3 linked regions of the Caenorhabditis elegans genome follow. The protein of the gene in region 2 purifies or fractionates together with the protein of the main gene of each other region. This does not show direct contact. Each region holds a gene or a part of one and is shown on either strand. Other genes may lie near its edges. The genes, in order: unc-14, unc-33 and klc-2.

Region 1 (8,115 bases), on a different chromosome or scaffold from region 2:
CAACCAAAGTTTTTGAAAAATCATACTTACATTTTAGATGTCCCCCAATGTTGAATTGCAAATCATTAAAAGTTAATTAAAATATAAAATTCGTAGACAATGTTAAAGAAATAAAAAGAATGTTCAAAAATTTTTCGAGCTAAAACTGTTCTTATGAAATCTTGAGCTAAAAATTTACAACTCCGACACCAAGATTATACAATATTTTTTTGCGTTTTTACATAGCTTTGAAAAAAGAATACTTGGTCATTTTTTCACCATATAAGTGGTTTCAATAATTTTCCCAACTGGCAATACTCCATCAGTTAAAACCTGTGCAAATAGATACAGAGCCACTGTTTTAAAACCGAAATTTGCTAATATTTAGCTTTTTGTTGGATACTTCCTGGAAAAAAAATTAAATTTAAATACTGGGAAATCATCTGAATATTTTTACAAGTCGACAGTTGCTATGTACAATTTACAACTTTAAAATAACGTACTGGAAATCTACAAAAACTTCAAATCATTCTGTGAATGTAAATTTCTTTGCTCATATCCTTCTTCTCCGTCTCTCATCACTTAAATTTTGTTTGCATCGTTGCCCACTATTTTAATTAAGCTCATTTTCTCAATTTCCTCTACCATTTTCTTGTGTCCCAATCAATCATTTCTCACCCACGAAGTATGATGAATTGCCACGTCACACAAACACCGATAGATCTTTTTTCTTTCGCACTCTCTTTCTCATATCAGTTGTGTCAAGTAGACAGAGAGCAGCAGCATCTCGAGTGTCCCATTTTGACAAAAAAAAGATGGGAAGAGATGTTTGTAGTTTTGAGATGAATGATATACGTTTGGTTATTGTCCCAAAGGAATGGTATTATTGTGGAATGCTCTTTGACTCATTTGATTTTATAGAATAGTCTGACAATCTTCTGAAAATTCCTAAAGACCCCCCACAAGAGAAAAGGTATATTCCACATATAAGAACTACAGTATCAAATCATTTTCCAAGTTACTCTAGAGAACATTAGACTACATTATTTCAATAGTTATCAAATGACTTGAAAACGTTTTGAAATTGTTTTATTAACAGTCACTTCAGTTTCATCTTTGAAAAATGTCTAATTGTTTCAAACTATGGCACTTTGCCAAAACTCTGTTTGAAAATTTTGAAAAAATATGAAACATGTCAGAGTTGTTTTAATTTTGGCACTCTTGGAGTAAATTTTGGCTAAGTCATCTTGGCTTCTCAGCTATGGAAGTCAATTATGTTTTACAAACCCATTAACAATGAAATCACTGAAAAGTTTTATTTTATAGTTTTAAAAACAATGAAATTTAGATTTTTTGTCGTAAAGTGTTCATTTTCAAGAAAACCAACGTTACGGTCGTAAAATATTAAAAATCACAACATGAACGAACACGCCCACAACAGAGTTTAAAACATTTCCCGGAACCGTTTTTCAAGTTTTTTGGAAACTTTTTTTCCTGGAAAAACTCTTGTCACTTTCTGAACACAAACTTTTCTTATGCAAAAAAAATACAACTTTGGCACCAAGATGTTTTTGAAAACTTTTTAGAAAATGTTTCAAAAATCAGCCCTTGCAAAAATAATTCAATCTCAAATGATTTCATGGGCTTATATGTTTTTTTATTCTCCAAGTTTTGTGGATTCTAAGATTCTGTATGACAATAGTATCAAGTTGCCTCAATTTTCATTTCTCCGACTTGTTGTCCACCATCACAGTAATACGATTCTTTGTCTTGAAAAATGTGAGCCAATCATCTTTCATGCACAAGTACATTTTCTCGGCCATCTCGTCTAACACTTTCCCTCAAACTACTCTCGTTCGTCTGTCTTCTATTCTTTGCATACAACTCTCAAGAGTGTTTCTCTCATTTCAGCGCTACACAGAGACACAGACAACATCTCTCCGTTGCGAAACACAACGAGAAGAGTATATTGAAGAGTGAGACGGAGAGATACAATTTGGATTGCATAGCCAGCTGACGCTTCTCTCGTTTTCTCTCGTTCTCTCATTTTTCAAAAGGCCAGGGACGCAGATTCATTGATCGACAACGACGGCGACGCGGCGGCGCGAGACGCGTCCCTTTATTTCTTCTTTTTCTAGTCAGCTTCTGTTATTCTGAACGTCTACAAAGGGCTTCATCCCTCAATTCTTCCACCAAAATGGTGGAACTGTGCGAACTGCACATGATGCCTGAAGAGGATCAATGGCCCGATGACATTGATGCTCGAATCGCTGCTCTCAACTTTTGTGGAGAAGATTCGATGCTCTTTGAATCAGTTGATCCTTCTGTATCAACTGATTCTTTAGACTCTCAACAGTTTCGAGAGAGATGTCAAATGAAAAAAGAAGATTTTCAATTAGCATTCGCAGACTCTGGACATTGGCAATCAGGTATAAATGATAATCTGACAACTTGGGGTCGGATTCGGACATCTGAACCATTGGATGAACGTACTGCCAGTGCTCCAGATGTTTGGAATGTAAAAAGAAGTGATAGTGCTCGATCACCAAATCGTCCAAATTCACTGATTGCCAACTTTGTTTCCGGAGATGCTACTCGATTCGTCGATGTAAATGATAATGAAATTCGCGAGGCAAATGAAGAAATAATTCGTAAAGATCGTTGGAGAAGAGATTCAGCGAGACGATGCTCATCTGGAGGACAAAATCAGAAACGAACATTTGCGGATATTCTGGAAAAGAATGTAACAGCACCAACTTCAATGGCAATCACATCGTCTGATAATGAAAAGCCTCCGAAATTAGACTTCCTGGCAATGCATCATGAGGTCAGTTTTTTTTTCGTAAGTGATAAGAGACGGGTGATAAATTTTGTCTGTATTGTGTTCTGCGGCAAAGATCGAGGTGGTCGGAGCGTTCTTTTTTCTTTCGATGCAACGTTTTAAGTTTTTCCAAAAAATAAATCATCTTCACTTTTTTCCGCAGTAAAGAAAATAAACAATTTTTTCAAAAAAATAATTTAAAGAATTTATTTTGATACATTTGAATTTCATCAACATTCACCGTATTTCTCCTACTAATCTTGCTCTTTTTCGGTTTACTTTAACAGTTTATATCTGGCCGTCGGGATATAAACTGTTAAAGTGGTTCAATACTGACAAGACTGATAAATAAAAATACTGTCTGACAGAATATACAAAACCTATGTATCTTGGGAATAGCTGTCAACTGACAAATAAAAACATTGTGTTAATGACTACAAGTATTTATTGCTAGTTTATTTTCTAGTCAACACATTTTTTTCAAAAACTAAATTCTAAAGTCTAAATTTGCAAATACTTAGATAGTATCATCGGTTGGTCATCACATTCCTTCCCATTTAAAAACAATTTTGTAGGTCGATGTTATTTTTGAGATAATGATCCTAACAGAATATAATTTTTAAAAGAAAAAACAGAAAGTATCCCGTCGGGATGCAAATGAAGAAGCAAGAAATAAACATCAATCTTACATAATCCAATCCGCGACAACCAAAATTGTTATCGGTTTCTTTTTTGTGTCAACGTCGCCGCTGTAGTCGTCGCGCCGCACTTATCATACCCATTCATTTGATCGATTGACTGCGTTCGTTTCTATTTTTTAATGTTTCATATACGGACGCATGTCTAGATAATGTCTTTTAGTAGTAGTGTAACCATGAGAAATTAGAACATGCATTCAAACTTTATAATTAAATAAATTAATTTTTAGATGCCATCTCTCTGCGAGTCATTCACCGCTTCGTTCCGTGATGCTATTATTAAAATGCAGAAATGTGAGCCACTACCGTCGATTACTTCAACCAATGATTTTCCGCTCTTCTTTCAAGTAAGTTCTTGTTTTTAGCATTGAAAAATAAACTTAACCATGAGATAAATTGAACAAGTTTTCCCTATTGTGCAGAAGTCTGATTATCAGCTAAAATAGGATACCTATTCCAATAAGCTGCTTTAATTGCTGTTTTAATGCTGTTTTAATAAGCAGGTAAGATCATAAAAACTCAAAGTGCATGCAATTTTAAACAAGAAAATCTTCAGTGGTGATTTAGTAAACATATTTGCATAATAGTCAACCAAGTATCCTTTTTCAACTTTCCAAATTTTTAGTAAAAATTTTAAAAAGTTGTCAAAAATTCCAAAATTGACTTTAGATATGTAAAAGCCTGATTAATTTTTTCGAAAAGTTTTACCACGATATAATACTTTTAAATGGTTTTCCATTCGCAGCTTTAACTAAATATAAGTATAAATTTAATTGTTCCTACAGTAGTTATCCCCATGAACTCATTGTGGCACGTAATCTGATATTTCTCAGTCTCTAATACTCTCACATTATTTGTTTCCATTAATTATTCATCCTTTTCTTTTTCAGGAAGACTCTCCCGACTCAGGACTCGGTTGTAGTGGTCCGAGCCACATTGAAGATTGGCAATCTCTATCTGTTCTTCTGCCCAAGTGAGTCACGTTTTTCATTCGATTTTCCCTTTTTTCTTTCGCTCGCTCATTTTTCATTTTTCGCCGGCTTAATCTCAAGATTATTTCGCGCCCCGGCACTCTTTTATTGAAGGGAAACATTGGAGAAAAATAAGAGACGCAGAGATTTTTCACATTTTCTTTCTTCCCGTTAACCCAGTCGGAGAAAAGATGGCGCAGGGAAGATTGGGAAAAGAAAGGACTTTTTCTGTGGGGTGAACGGAAATTGAGGGAAGAAAACTGAAATGGGCACGTGATTGACTTTTTTGAAAATTGGTCAATCTATCGGAAAAGGTTAAAGGTGGAGATTGTGAGTGTGGATTTAGTTTTAAAATACTCAAACTAGTCTATAACCCTGAAACAACTCAAAAGAAAAACGAAAGAAACTAGTGAGAATGGAAAATAATGTTTTTTTTAATTGAAAAAATAGATTTTTCTGTTTTGGCTAATTTTTCTTTGTTTAAATTACCTCCGAAATGAGAATTTCAAGCCGATCAACGATTCGCTTTTTCAATCAATCATATGGATTGCTGAAACCTTTAAGACGTTGATTGTTTTGAAACTACTTGAGGTTTTTAGCTTTGTTTTAGGTTTTTTGGCATTTTAAACAAAACACTATTAACGCTTTGAGAATCACATCAAAACTAAAAATATTTTCTTAATTGTAATGTTTCAGACACGTCGCAGAAGCATGTTCATTCTTCAAGAGCAACACCCAATTATTAACATCAAGTACATCAAAAACAGCACCCCAAACATCAACAAACATCGTATCAAATTGCATTGATCGCCGTATCTCTGGTATTTCAGCATCAGCAAATGAAGCATGTCGAACGTGTTATCGAGTACGAAGGAGGTAAGAATCTTTTGATTTTTATGAGCTATTTGAGAAGCTAACGGCTAATTGCTTTAGGGTGACGAAACGTTTGATGACCAATCGTTAAAATAGTATACAAGACACATGTTGTGTAATAAATGTGTATCTCACTATTTGTTAGAATATGGTTTTCTGTCTTAAAATATTCATAACAATTTTTTTCAGGATACACCCACCAGTTTGGGCTCAAACTGCCCAATCAAAGACGGTTCTTTGTGACTGCGCATCAACACCCACGGATACGAATTTCTCATTTGCACCAACAACGTAAGCTTCTTCTTCACTGACTCTATTATGCTCTTTAATCTTCCATTTGACCCTCATCATCAATCACTTACCCGCGCACATTCACTTCTTTTCATTCTCTTCCTTCTTTCGAAATCTCATTTCTCATTTCAGTTCAACGACTCGCCATCAACTGCGCGCAAAAGAGCTCTCAATTGTCGGATTGCCGATTTATGCAGCAAAGCGGACACTCGTTGAGAATGTTGTTGAAGGCGTTGCTGCAATTTCAAGAGGGGATGGAAGTGATTTGCTTGTCATGTAAGAAATATTTTTTAATATTAAATATGAGGGTCTGCAACTTTAAAGAAACCCTGAAAATGTAAAAAAAAATGGAAAAATAGTCCAGTTCAATAAAAAATACTCAAAATAGACTCTTATTAATACAAATTAAAATGTTTCAACATTTTCAGCGCCATGAGATGCTTAATTGAAGATGGTCTTCAAGAAAATGTATCGGCATGGACAATGATTCAGACGGTTACCTCAAAAGGCCCAGCTACAAAAGATGTTCATTCAATTGTAAAACAATTGGAAGAATGTTCAAAGACTGACAACGTCAAAGTTGAAATCTTCTTTGAGGAGCTTATCAGGTAATCGGAGAAAATAGAAATATAATCGTTCAAGTAAGAGTTACAGAGAAAACTCATTGGACTGCTGGCTGTGCTATATTGTGTTGAAAGAGAAGGTGCTGAAAACATTGTATTCTGAAAATGCATTCCTTCTTTCTGCGAGTTCTGAATACAGAACTCTTCTTTGGAGAATGGTCGACAGTTTGTCTCTTTTGCCAGGTAATTCTAGTTTTCATTAACAACAACTTAAATGAATGTATATCTAAAATGCCCCAATAGTTCCCTTTTTGAAATTTGCACATTGATATTTTTAGTGATCGAAGCTCGCAGTGATTCAGTTCACCAACAGTTCAAATCAATGCAACAATGGGGCGGAGCATCCAGAATAGCTTCTGACTCAAGAGTTCCAAAGAGTTCATCGTTCCCAGCAAGATTATCAACTGCTCCATCAAGAAGATCAAGGATACCATTGTCAACAAGGTAATTTGTTTGTTTTTTCATTGCAAAATTGGCAGACTTCGAAACGAGACATGTCTTATTTAAAAGTTTATATGCATTTAGACCAGGATATCAAAAAATTTTAAGCAAAGCTCAGCAACCACACTCTAAAAATTTCGCTCTGAAATTTCTTCAGTGAATTTTTTCGCTGTAATTGTGCCTCATTTTTAAGAGTGTTGGGTAGATATTCTGAATTATTTTTGGCAATTGATTTGATTCTAAAAAAATCAACAAATGCAATCAAAAGCTCTCTTGATCTTTGACAACTCTTAACCACTTTTCAATTTTTCAGTCGCATCAGTATCAGCTCAACAACTTCAACACCTCGATCAGCTCGATCACCTTCAACGACATCTCGTATTCGAGTTGCATCTATAATGGGTGACTTCACACTTGCCAATTTCTCCCTCTCAGACGGAGAAAAAGTTAGTGTTCTATCAACTCGTGGAGGACTTGCTCGATGTGTCCGTTTAACGACTTCTCATTCAAAAATCAACAATGGAGTTATTCCGATTGAACATCTTCTTTTCCAGTGAACACTCTGTACTTTATTTTTTTCTTGAACTTTAATTTTTTTCCGATGCTTCATATAATTCTAGTCATGCCACCCAATTCAACCGAGTTTGATCCCCCATCCCATGCATTCATCGTTTTCCCTCAATGATACTCATTTCTTTTTCATGTTCAACTGAATTCATGAAAAATGTTTGAAAACTTTCAAATATTTTTTTGAATTTAAAAGTCATTAGATAGCCTCTCTTTTCCCTCCGGTTTCCTCCAATTTTGCTCCTTCTATCTTCGTATAGAAGAAAATTGCTTTATTTCCTTCCTTTTTCAGCTAAAATCGAGGCAACTATTGGATTCTTTGCAGCTTGCCAAAACATTATTCAATAACAAAAACGAAAATGTTTATTTGTATTTTGGAATAGAGCCAATCGGATTTGTATTGTTTTTGAAAATAAACAATAAATAAAATGCATTTAATTATTAATTTTAAATTTGGAAAAGTTATTAAATAATCTAAAATGTTTGAAAATGAACTTAAAAATGAAAAAACATACAAATAATTTTGTAATTTGGTTTTTTTTTTACACTTTTTGGATTTCAGTGGCGTTGCAATATAGCCTTCAATAATTTTCAAAGATCACCGGGCGTAACATTTAATGATTAATAGTAATTCAACGAATCACAAATTACAACAATTCACAAATATTTACCAAAAACATTTTGATCTTAAGATGTTTTTTTTTTATCTGAACTAGTTTCCATTAGTGTCTCATGTCGAATGATGTGATAAGAACGAATTATTTCGAGATAACAATAACATTTGAAAATCCTATAAAAGGGGGTGAGAAAATTGTAAAAAGCAAGAAGTTCTTACACTGAATTTCCAAATC
Region 2 (4,750 bases):
AACAAAGAACGGAGTATGAGTAATGGAGCATCGGTGGAAAAATCGAAGCCTCTAGAATTTTCTAGATTTTCGTGAAAAATCAGCTAAAAACTCAAATTTCGGGACAAATTCACCAAAAATAGCAGAAAATGGCGGAAGCACTACTACTGTACATAAGGATTTTCTAAATTTTTCATGAAAAATCCGCGAAATCCGGAATTTCGATGAATATTAGTGCAAAATCTCCGAGAAAAAAGCAATGAGAATCTCAATTTTTTGCTGATTTTTCTCAAAAAATCAGCAGAAAAAACGGAGACTGTCATCTTATGATTATTTCCTTTCTTGATGAATCATTGTTTGAAATACCGACACACCACCCGGTGTGTGTTGCGAAATAAACAAATTATTGTGTTCTTTTTCAATATAAACACAGCAATACCAGTTGACCGCGGGCGGTTTTAAACTAAAAAAATCCAATCGGAAAAAGATGCGGGAAATTCGAAAAATTCAGAGCTCCAAGCGATCCCCGATGGATGCTTGTAAATCGATAAATCGGGCGGAAACCTCTCCGGCGGACACATTGTAAGCGAGAGACGAGAGAGCGTCAGAGAAACCAATAGTGACCCCCCTCTGCGTCTCTGACATGGTATTCGTGGAGAGAGAATGAGTCAGAGAGAGAGCCGGAGACGGAGAGAAACACAGAGAACACTCCCCGGAGGCTTTCCGCCGCCGCTTTCGGGGCCATCTCACATCGATTTCGTGCCTTTTTGTGGGGATGGGACAACTTTTCTTTGTTTCTTGATGAGCTTTTTTGGATTGTTTAATTTTCTTCAGAGAGTTGCAAGAAATTTCATCTCTAAAAAATCAGATTTTTTCCTTTTTTCGGAAATTTCAGAATTTTATTTTTAGGTTTTTTATTTAAAGAAAAGTTAGGATTTTTCTTCAAAAATTTCTGAATTTTTTCTTTTTTTTGTCAATTTTCTCTAGAAAGCAGCCAGAAAATTGATCTCAATTTTGGAAATTCACTGGAAAAAATTCGTGAAAATTTTAGAAATTTCTACAGCTTTCTTATTTTTTAAATACAAACAATTTTCTCTGTTTTTTGATGTGAAATTTAGTTTTTTTTCAATTTTGGAGCATTTTTTGGGTTTTTGAAGATTTTTTTCTTTCGATTTGCAAAAAAATCGATTTTCTAAGAAAAAAAACATTAGAAAAACTAAAACATTATTTTTTGAAAATACAATATTTTTGTTGTATTTTTAGATTTTTTCCTGCAGGAATAAGATTTTTAGTCTCGTGAGAGAATTCACACTAAAAATTGCTAAATTTACATAAAATATGTGTAAAAAGCCATTTTTTCCGTAGAAAAATTTCAAAATTTATGAATTTTTCTTTAAAATTTGATTAAACCCCTGAAAAACCACTGGAAATTTTGTTTTTTCCCCTCGAAAGTTCCCCCAAAGTCACATTTTGCAAATTTCTAAAGAAGATTTACCACCGCAATTACCATAGTTAATCCGAAAATTGAAATTTTCCCGTCTTTTTTCCTCCAATCTTCATTTTTACCTCTTTTTAACCTAAAAATAATTGAAAAAACCCAATTTTTCGTTACAGAAAGCGCGCAAAATACACATTTATCACTAGAGGAGGGCCAAATAGTTGGCGGACATCACTGGAAAATGTTCCCGTTTTTAGCACCAATTCGATCAGCAAATCATGTGTAAGTTTTGCGTTTTCCGTGGTTTTTTTTTCCAATTAAATCCAATTTTAGAGAGCAACAAGGCACAAAGTACTACGTAGAAATCACATTTCTAGCAGATTCTCCATATTCTAGAGCTCCATCGAGCACTGGCACCGAGAAATCTGTAATTCCAACGCTCAGGAATCTGGATGACCTGGAGACTGTTTCTAATAAAAGTAGGAGTAGTGAAGGTTAGATTAGTCACGTTTTCCCGTAATTTTAAGCGAAGTTTTTGCCCAATTTAGGAGTGAATAAGCTAGGGAGCCGTCCGAACAGCCGAAGCTCGGCAATTGTTAAAAAGACGAGTGTGTCCTCACTGCCAACGTCGGCCCGATCCGAAGGAAAATCCTCTCCGATTCCGGTTAAAGATGCGATTCCGGCTCCAGCGCGGCACAAGAACAAGGGTCTCGAGATGTCGTCGGCAATGATGGTGGGTTTCCCGTTTAAAAAATCAAAATTCTAGCAAACTTGGTGAAAAATCGAATTTTCTAGGAGCTATTTGGTGGCGGAGGCAGCACGTCACCAGCGCCATCAAAACGAGAAAACCCAGCCGACGCGGTGAGTTTAAAAATTTTTCTAACTTCTAATGTCGCAGGATACGAAAAGTCGCAATGTTCAGGGCAAAACCACGTTGATTTACGAAAAATTTGATAAAAACTTGTGTTTACAGTAAAAAATTCTAGAATAAATCGAAAACATCCCGGAAAGAAAGAAGAAAAAATGAAAAAATAAAATAAAATAGAAAAATAAATTCAAACGTGTCCTACAGTAATCTTTGAAGGCGCATCACAATTTATATAGTCCAGGTTTCGCCACGAAAATTGTTTTTCTTTAGTTTTTAGGATTTTTGCCATTATTTCTAATGTTTTCTTGACTTTATATGTTAAAATAATTTTTATATTCCAATTTTCATTAATTTTTTATGTCAAATATACCAAAAACCAGGCAAAACTCTCTTAAACCTTCATTATCAACTACCGTAACTTTAAAGGTACACATCACTTTGCGAAACGTGGGTCTCGACGAGTTTTGTTTTTTTTTAGTTATTTTTTTGAAATTTAAAAGCCCAATTTTTGTAATTTCTAACCGATTTTCCTGCAATTTTCTTCAATTTTTTTGATTTTCAGCCATCCGATCGTGTTGTAAGCAATGCTAAACTCTCTCAGCCTGGCCCAGAATGGTTTGAAGGGTTCGAACAGATGGATATGACGGATATTGGTGAGAAAATCAGATTTTTCGAGAGAATTTGTGGTTTATAAGCCACAAATCTGTGTTTAAAACCATTAAAAATGTAGAAAATAAGTATTTATTGCAGAATTTTTTACAGAACTACCCCCCGACCCGAACTGCCCGGCGGAAAAGGTGTTGCGCGGAGAAAAATCGACGCCAGACTTCGATTCGGATTGGCAAGAAGCGAAAGAAGACGTTTTAGATCCTCAAAGCTACCCGAAAAGCTTCAACCCCGCCGAATCGCTTCCCGGTCCAGATATTGGCGCCGGCGTTGACGATGAGGAAGAGCCTGAGGCTGAAGCTCAAGAAATGGAAGAGGTTCGTGATTTATTCACGAGTTTTCCCATTTTTCTGTGTCCTTTCCATCAATTTTTGATATAGTTTAGCAAGTTTTTCGCGGCGTTTTGTTTGTTTGTGACGGAGGGAGAGAGAATTGTTTGAACAGATGTCACCTGGAGAACAATTAAAAAATTAATGTTCACTGTAATTGTTTGAAAAATCGCGAAATTTTGAGCAGAAAAAAATAGAAAAATGGTGAGAAATTCAGAAATTTCAGTGACAATTATAGGTTAAATGAATTTTCAGATTTTTTAAAAGAAAACCCCGATTTCAGGCAATTTGTTCCTAAAATAGAAATTAAAATCTAGTTTTTTTCCACATTATTGAGCAATTTTTGCTCCAACTGCCAATTATATTGCACTTTTGTTAATTTTCCAAGCGATTTTTAGTTAATTTTTTTCTCTAAAAAGCTCTAAATTTCCTAAAGCTGTCAATTTTTTTGCAAAAAGTGTAATTTTCCACTTTTCGTGGCAATTTTCAATAATTTGGCTCTAAAATAACGTTTTTAACACAAGAAAAGTCAAATTTTTCACAATTTTGAAAATTAGCTCTAGAAGTACAGTATTTTGCAGCAAAAAGCTCTTTTAATACAAATTATAAATTTCAGGCGATTTTAGCCTGAAAAATCTCCAAAAAAGCTCAAAATTTACTATAGAACTGGTAATTTTTATTGCAAAAAGCTTATTTTTACAACTTTAAGAGTGATTTTTTTCAACCAATTTCCCCAATTTTTTCAGCCAATTTTCTCTCTAAAAGCCCTAAAAATAGCAATTTTCAGGCAATTTTAGCTTGAAAATGGCAAAATTTAAACATAAAAGTGTTAATTTTCTATGTTTTTACCCAATTTTTACTCTAAAAAGCTTTAAATTCCTATAAAATTGTCAATTTTATTGCAAAAAGCTTCTCTTTTCTTCATCCTTTATCTCTTACTTTCTCCAGCCTCAATACGAATCGAAAGTGGACGAAAAAGACGACGACGACAATGGCTCTTCTTCCTCCAAAAAGGGTCATCCTTCCGAAGACGGAGATAGTACAAGAAATGGAGAGACGCCGACAGACCGACGAAATAGTGGGGCGATTGAAGAGACGGCAGACGGTGAGAGCTCTGCGCAGTCGGCTGCTGAGAAGAAGAATAGTGGAGACGACGGCAACGGAGGCGGCGGTGAAATGTCGATTTTGCTCGTCAAAAATGCTCAAATTGTCAATGACGATGCGATTTTTGTAGCTGATATTCTGATTGAAGATGGAATTATTCAGTAAGTCGGATTTTTGAGTTGAAAATTGAATTTTTCGGTCAAAAATTGACCTCTTTAATCGGAATTTTGAGCAATTTTAGTCCAGATATTGTGAATTTTCGTAAGATTTTTGTGATTTTCAGCTAAAATTTGTGAATTTTTATGAAGTTTTTTTGCATTTTTAGCCCAGAAACTGAATTTACCGCGAATTTTAAAATTTTCATTT
Region 3 (5,140 bases), on a different chromosome or scaffold from region 2:
ACCATCATGAATTTGGCCGGTTCTACTATTCAGGCATATCGCCAGTAAGTTATATTTTTAATTTGAAATGAGAATTGGAATTTAGAGTGTTGAATCATTTTCTTATCACATGCATTACTCATCAAAAAATGTTTGAAAGTTATTTCCGCTAGGGCTGTAACAAAAAATGTACAGTACATTCTAAGCGGATACCCTAATTTTCAAAAAATTTCAATTTGCATCTACCGTAAAATAAAAATAAAAATCGAAATCTACTTTCCTAGTCCTCTAATTCAAAATTGCAAGATCTTATGACAAGTTTTCAGAAATAGTGAATATATGAATCAAAACTCTTTGCCCAAATTCTAATAATTCATGAGAAGTTTATGTTAATATGTTTTATTTTTTGGTTTTTATATTTTCTGAAATCCCACCTTTCTCTTGAGAAACAAAGCAATTTCGATACTTTTTTGCATATGAAGCTAAACAAATCCTAGATGTATTCTTCATAAAAACTCAGGTGTCCAAACATTGCAATTAACTATGAAAGGATGCATCTTTCCAATTGTTTCGCAATTCTTTCTCGCCTCCGTCTCTTGCTCTCTCATTTCCTCCATGTTGGACGGACGATCAATAGTTTCTATGTTGTCTCTAATATTTCTATGATCTCTCATCAGTGGCTGCGCACGTCTCGCTGTCTATTCGCCGACACGACGAGAGCGGGCTTTCGGTTAATACAACCAAACACTCTTTCCGAACAACGTTATGTTTTACTTGTCCACACTTTATTAGCATCTTTATGTTCAGAACCATTTCTTATGAGCTTTTGCAGGAGAGAAATTATTAGAAAGTTAAAATTTGGTTTCATTTCTGCTTATATTGCGAAATTTGTACCTATAGTGTTGCACATATTTAGCTTATCTTTGACATATTCCAAAAAGTTTCTCAGTTTTCTAAAAGTTTTTCCAAAATTGTTCTAGTGCAACTCAACCTAGCAAAATCAAAGAAATATATTAGTTCTACCACGAAATGCTATTGATTTTCAAAAATTATAGCGCATAGTGCAGCCTTGATTTTTTCAAATTAAAAATTTCAAAAACCGAGTAAATAAAAATTACAAATTTTTAAAAGAAAATATCAATCCACGATGATTTTTATTTTCTCTAAAACGTGTTGAACATTTGGAACATTTTTGCTTTATTTCAACTTATTTCAAAGCAACGTTTCGGTGTAAAATAAGTTTATCGTTATTTTGTGAAAATGTGGAATGTCATTTTAAAGGCACATGCGTATTTTCTCAGGGGGTCTCGCCACGATCTCCTGTATTTCAATAGCAAATGGCAGGGCTGTTATTTAAGACGCCCTCCTCAATCTTTGAGAGCTCATTTTGGCGTTTTTTTTAACTTCAGCCATAAAATTGAAACTGGATAATATTTACCTAAATAATAGATTTTCCAAATTCTTGCACCAAATAGATCTATGGTATAAAACTGTCAGGCTGATTTTCAAATTTTTGCATTTTTTAGAATTCCAAAGTGAGCAGTATTCATGGAAAAATATTTTTTGAATCTAGTTCTACGTTTTTGAGAGAATGCAAGATTTTAATTAATTTTTGTTGTGCCATACTTTGGCATTATTTACATTTAAAAGAAAAAAAGGGTTAATTTTTTCTGATAAATCTGAAATTAAAAAAAAAGACTATCGCAAAACTTATTGAACGACCTAATAGCTATGATCTACATAGATTCAACTGTTTTTACTCACTGAAAAAATTTTCTCGTTAGCTACCAACACTTCTCGAACTTCTTCCAATTACATTTAATAGATTTAAAATTTCAGGCGAAAAATCGAGTCGCTGGCGAAAATGTCAAACATGTCGCAGGACGACGTGACGACGGGCCTACGTACCGTTCAGCAGGGACTTGAAGCTCTTCGTGAGGAACACTCGACAATTTCGAATACTTTGGAGACTAGTGTCAAAGGTATGGCTTTTTTTACGACGAGTTGAACATTTACTAAAATTCAATCATTTAGGTGTGAAAGAAGATGAAGCTCCATTGCCGAAGCAGAAGCTTTCACAAATTAACGATAATTTGGATAAGTTGGTGTGCGGAGTTGATGAGACATCGTTGATGCTGATGGTATTCCAACTCACTCAAGGAATGGATGCTCAACATCAGAAATACCAAGCTCAACGGAGACGCTTGTGCCAGGAGAATGCGTGGCTTCGTGATGAGTTGAGTTCAACTCAAATCAAACTTCAACAGTCGGAGCAAATGGTTGCTCAATTGGAAGAGGAGAACAAGCATCTTAAGTATATGGCATCAATCAAACAATTTGATGATGGAACTGTAAGTTGAATTTTTCGAGGAGCATTCTTAACTTATTTTGTTTGTTTTCAGCAAAGTGATACTAAGACATCTGTCGATGTTGGACCACAACCAGTCACAAACGAAACTCTTCAAGAACTTGGTTTTGGACCAGAAGACGAAGAAGATATGAATGCTAGTCAATTCAACCAACCAACACCAGCCAACCAAATGGCGGCTTCTGCTAATGTTGGATACGAAATTCCAGCTCGTCTTCGCACACTTCACAACTTGGTCATTCAATACGCCTCCCAAGGTCGTTATGAAGTTGCAGTTCCATTGTGCAAGCAAGCTTTGGAAGATTTGGAGAAAACGAGTGGTCACGATCATCCAGATGTTGCCACAATGCTCAATATTTTGGCACTTGTCTACAGAGATCAGAACAAGTACAAAGAGGCTGCAAATCTTCTGAATGAGGCTCTCAGTATTCGTGAGAAATGTCTTGGAGAAAGTCATCCAGCTGTTGCCGCCACTCTCAACAATCTCGCAGTTTTGTTCGGAAAACGTGGAAAGTTCAAGGATGCTGAACCGCTTTGCAAGCGTGCTCTTGAAATTCGCGAGAAAGTTCTTGGAGATGATCATCCAGATGTGGCCAAGCAACTCAATAATCTTGCTCTTCTTTGCCAAAATCAAGGAAAGTATGAAGAAGTCGAGAAGTATTACAAGAGAGCTCTCGAAATCTACGAGAGCAAACTTGGACCTGATGACCCGAATGTGGCAAAGACCAAGAACAATTTGTCATCTGCTTACTTGAAACAAGGAAAATATAAGGAGGCTGAGGAGTTGTACAAGCAAATTCTCACCAGAGCTCATGAAAGAGAGTTCGGACAGATCAGTGGAGAGAATAAACCAATTTGGCAAATCGCTGAAGAACGAGAGGAGAACAAGCACAAGGGAGAAGGTGCAACTGCCAACGAACAAGCTGGATGGGCAAAAGCCGCCAAAGTTGATAGGTATTATGATTTTTATTAGAAAAAAATAAATTAAACAAAACTGATTCCAGTCCAACCGTCACAACAACTCTCAAGAACCTTGGAGCCCTTTACCGGCGACAAGGAAAATATGAAGCCGCCGAAACATTGGAAGATGTCGCCTTGAGAGCAAAGAAACAGGTATGTAATGATGTTTTTTCTGCATTCATGGCTTCTCTATCTAGCACGCTTTACTGCATTTAAAATACAAAAGTTCAGAAAAAAAATTTAGAAGTTAGATATTAATGTTGTAAAATGTTGTATGCGTCCCCGATACCCCAGTGACAAGAATTTGCTTCATATTTACATGTATTTTTGGAACTTAAAACATTGACAACAGTTGTTTCAAACCAGGGGAGTGCGTCAAATTTGCCGAATTTGCCGGTTGCCGAACTTGCCGGACACGGTAAATTTCGAAAATTGCCGCACACATCAAAAATTCGACAATAAAATTTTGACCAAAACTATGTTTCAAACTAACCCGAAAATTAGATGCTGCCTGAACAATGTCTTGCCAACTTTTGAACCAAAATTGGCAAATACTGAAATATTGCACAAATCTGAAGCTCATTCAAACGAATTGTTTTTTAAAATTAAAGTTTAAATTTAATACGAAGCATATTCTTGTCCTCCCCAAGCCCCCATCAATAACAATTCCAGTAACAAAAAAAAACACATAAAACGCTTATTTTTGTATTTTAGTGATAGTGATGTGCTTTAGAATTTGGTCACTCGTTTCCTCTTTTCAGTATTGTTTCCTCTTTCAGCATGAGCCATTACGAAGTGGAGCGATGGGCGGAATCGATGAAATGAGCCAGTCGATGATGGCTTCTACAATCGGTGGATCCAGAAACTCGATGACAACGAGCACATCTCAAACTGGATTGAAGAATAAACTAATGAATGCACTCGGATTCAACTCTTAAGAGCATCTCTTTGCAGCACTGACTGAAAACCGCTTATCGTTCTTGTATTAATAAGTGCTCGTTGATTCAAGTTCCAAATTCTGAAATTTTGTCTCAGATCTACGAAAACTTGCTTTTTTCTTCTTTCGTTGTGTTGTGCATGATTCTTTTTTTTTTGATTGATTTTTCTTTCTGCCCCATCCCCTCATTCACAAAATCTTGTTCATAAATAATAGGGTTGAATAATTGAATGTTTCCTTGTCCGCCCCCACCAACTTTTTGGTAAAGCTTTATATTGTCTGCTTCGAATTTTCTTTTCAAGCAAAAAAAAAAACATAATTATAACAAGCTGAAAAATCGTGTTGTTGTAAATAAAGGGTTTATTTTTGAATTCTGCTTGTTACAAGAAAAAGAAAACTTCAATTTCAGATGTCCGAATCTCGAAGAATGGAACGATCCGTTATGTATTGATTGTTGCTCGACATTGTACTCCGTCATCAAGCTTTACACTTCTTCGCAAAATTCCAAAAGTTTACAAGTTCTCATTTATTTATATGTATCAAGTTCTAATTAAACACTGCTTTTCTATTTTTGTTAGCTATTCGCATAATAACATTTTTTTTTAATTATAAAAATGTGAACCCGATTAAATTGGAAAAACGTTTCGAGAAAAATTATAATTGCAAAGATTCATGATATTTATTCAATAAGACTTGAAAAACATTTACCCTGATATTCAAAAAATTAACAAAAAACAACGGTCAAGTTGGTGATTATGGGAAGGGGTTTGTATTCTATGAAGAACACGGAGAGATTAACATGAGCGGTACCAAACCCTGGTACCAGGGCTTCCTGCTGGCAGGAAATTGTCAAATTGATAACCCATAATCTCCGGACCGAAGTGAAAACTTTAGTA

The links.
Region 1: the proteins of unc-33 (region 2) and unc-14 purify together in Caenorhabditis elegans (affinity purification with western blotting, with the first as the bait; one study listed by BioGRID). This does not show direct contact.
Region 3: the proteins of unc-33 (region 2) and klc-2 purify together in Caenorhabditis elegans (affinity purification with western blotting, with the first as the bait; one study listed by BioGRID). This does not show direct contact.

Annotation. Positions count from the first base shown.
Region 1 is NC_003279.8:7,122,199-7,130,313, reverse strand, and holds unc-14 (RUN domain-containing protein), read left to right. Parts: upstream 1-2,067; 5' UTR 2,068-2,176; coding exon 2,177-2,806; intron 2,807-3,728; coding exon 3,729-3,845; intron 3,846-4,388; coding exon 4,389-4,471; intron 4,472-5,165; coding exon 5,166-5,345; intron 5,346-5,531; coding exon 5,532-5,633; intron 5,634-5,765; coding exon 5,766-5,909; intron 5,910-6,061; coding exon 6,062-6,241; intron 6,242-6,287; coding exon 6,288-6,439; intron 6,440-6,534; coding exon 6,535-6,700; intron 6,701-7,010; coding exon 7,011-7,254; 3' UTR 7,255-7,700; downstream 7,701-8,115.
Region 2 is NC_003282.8:3,515,228-3,519,977, forward strand, and holds the start of unc-33 (Protein unc-33), read left to right. Parts: upstream 1-1,658; coding exon 1,659-1,699; intron 1,700-1,750; coding exon 1,751-1,911; intron 1,912-1,965; coding exon 1,966-2,150; intron 2,151-2,212; coding exon 2,213-2,278; intron 2,279-2,847; coding exon 2,848-2,938; intron 2,939-3,047; coding exon 3,048-3,268; intron 3,269-4,228; coding exon 4,229-4,545; intron 4,546-4,750. UniProt on the Caenorhabditis elegans protein: During neurogenesis, plays an essential role in axonal guidance and outgrowth by regulating the polarization of both microtubule and actin cytoskeletons.
Region 3 is NC_003283.11:5,576,208-5,581,347, reverse strand, and holds klc-2 (Kinesin light chain), read left to right. Parts: upstream 1-1,843; coding exon 1,844-1,961; intron 1,962-2,013; coding exon 2,014-2,330; intron 2,331-2,381; coding exon 2,382-3,301; intron 3,302-3,351; coding exon 3,352-3,460; intron 3,461-4,086; coding exon 4,087-4,245; 3' UTR 4,246-4,611; downstream 4,612-5,140. UniProt on the Caenorhabditis elegans protein: Kinesin is a microtubule-associated force-producing protein that may play a role in organelle transport. The light chain may function in coupling of cargo to the heavy chain or in the modulation of its ATPase activity.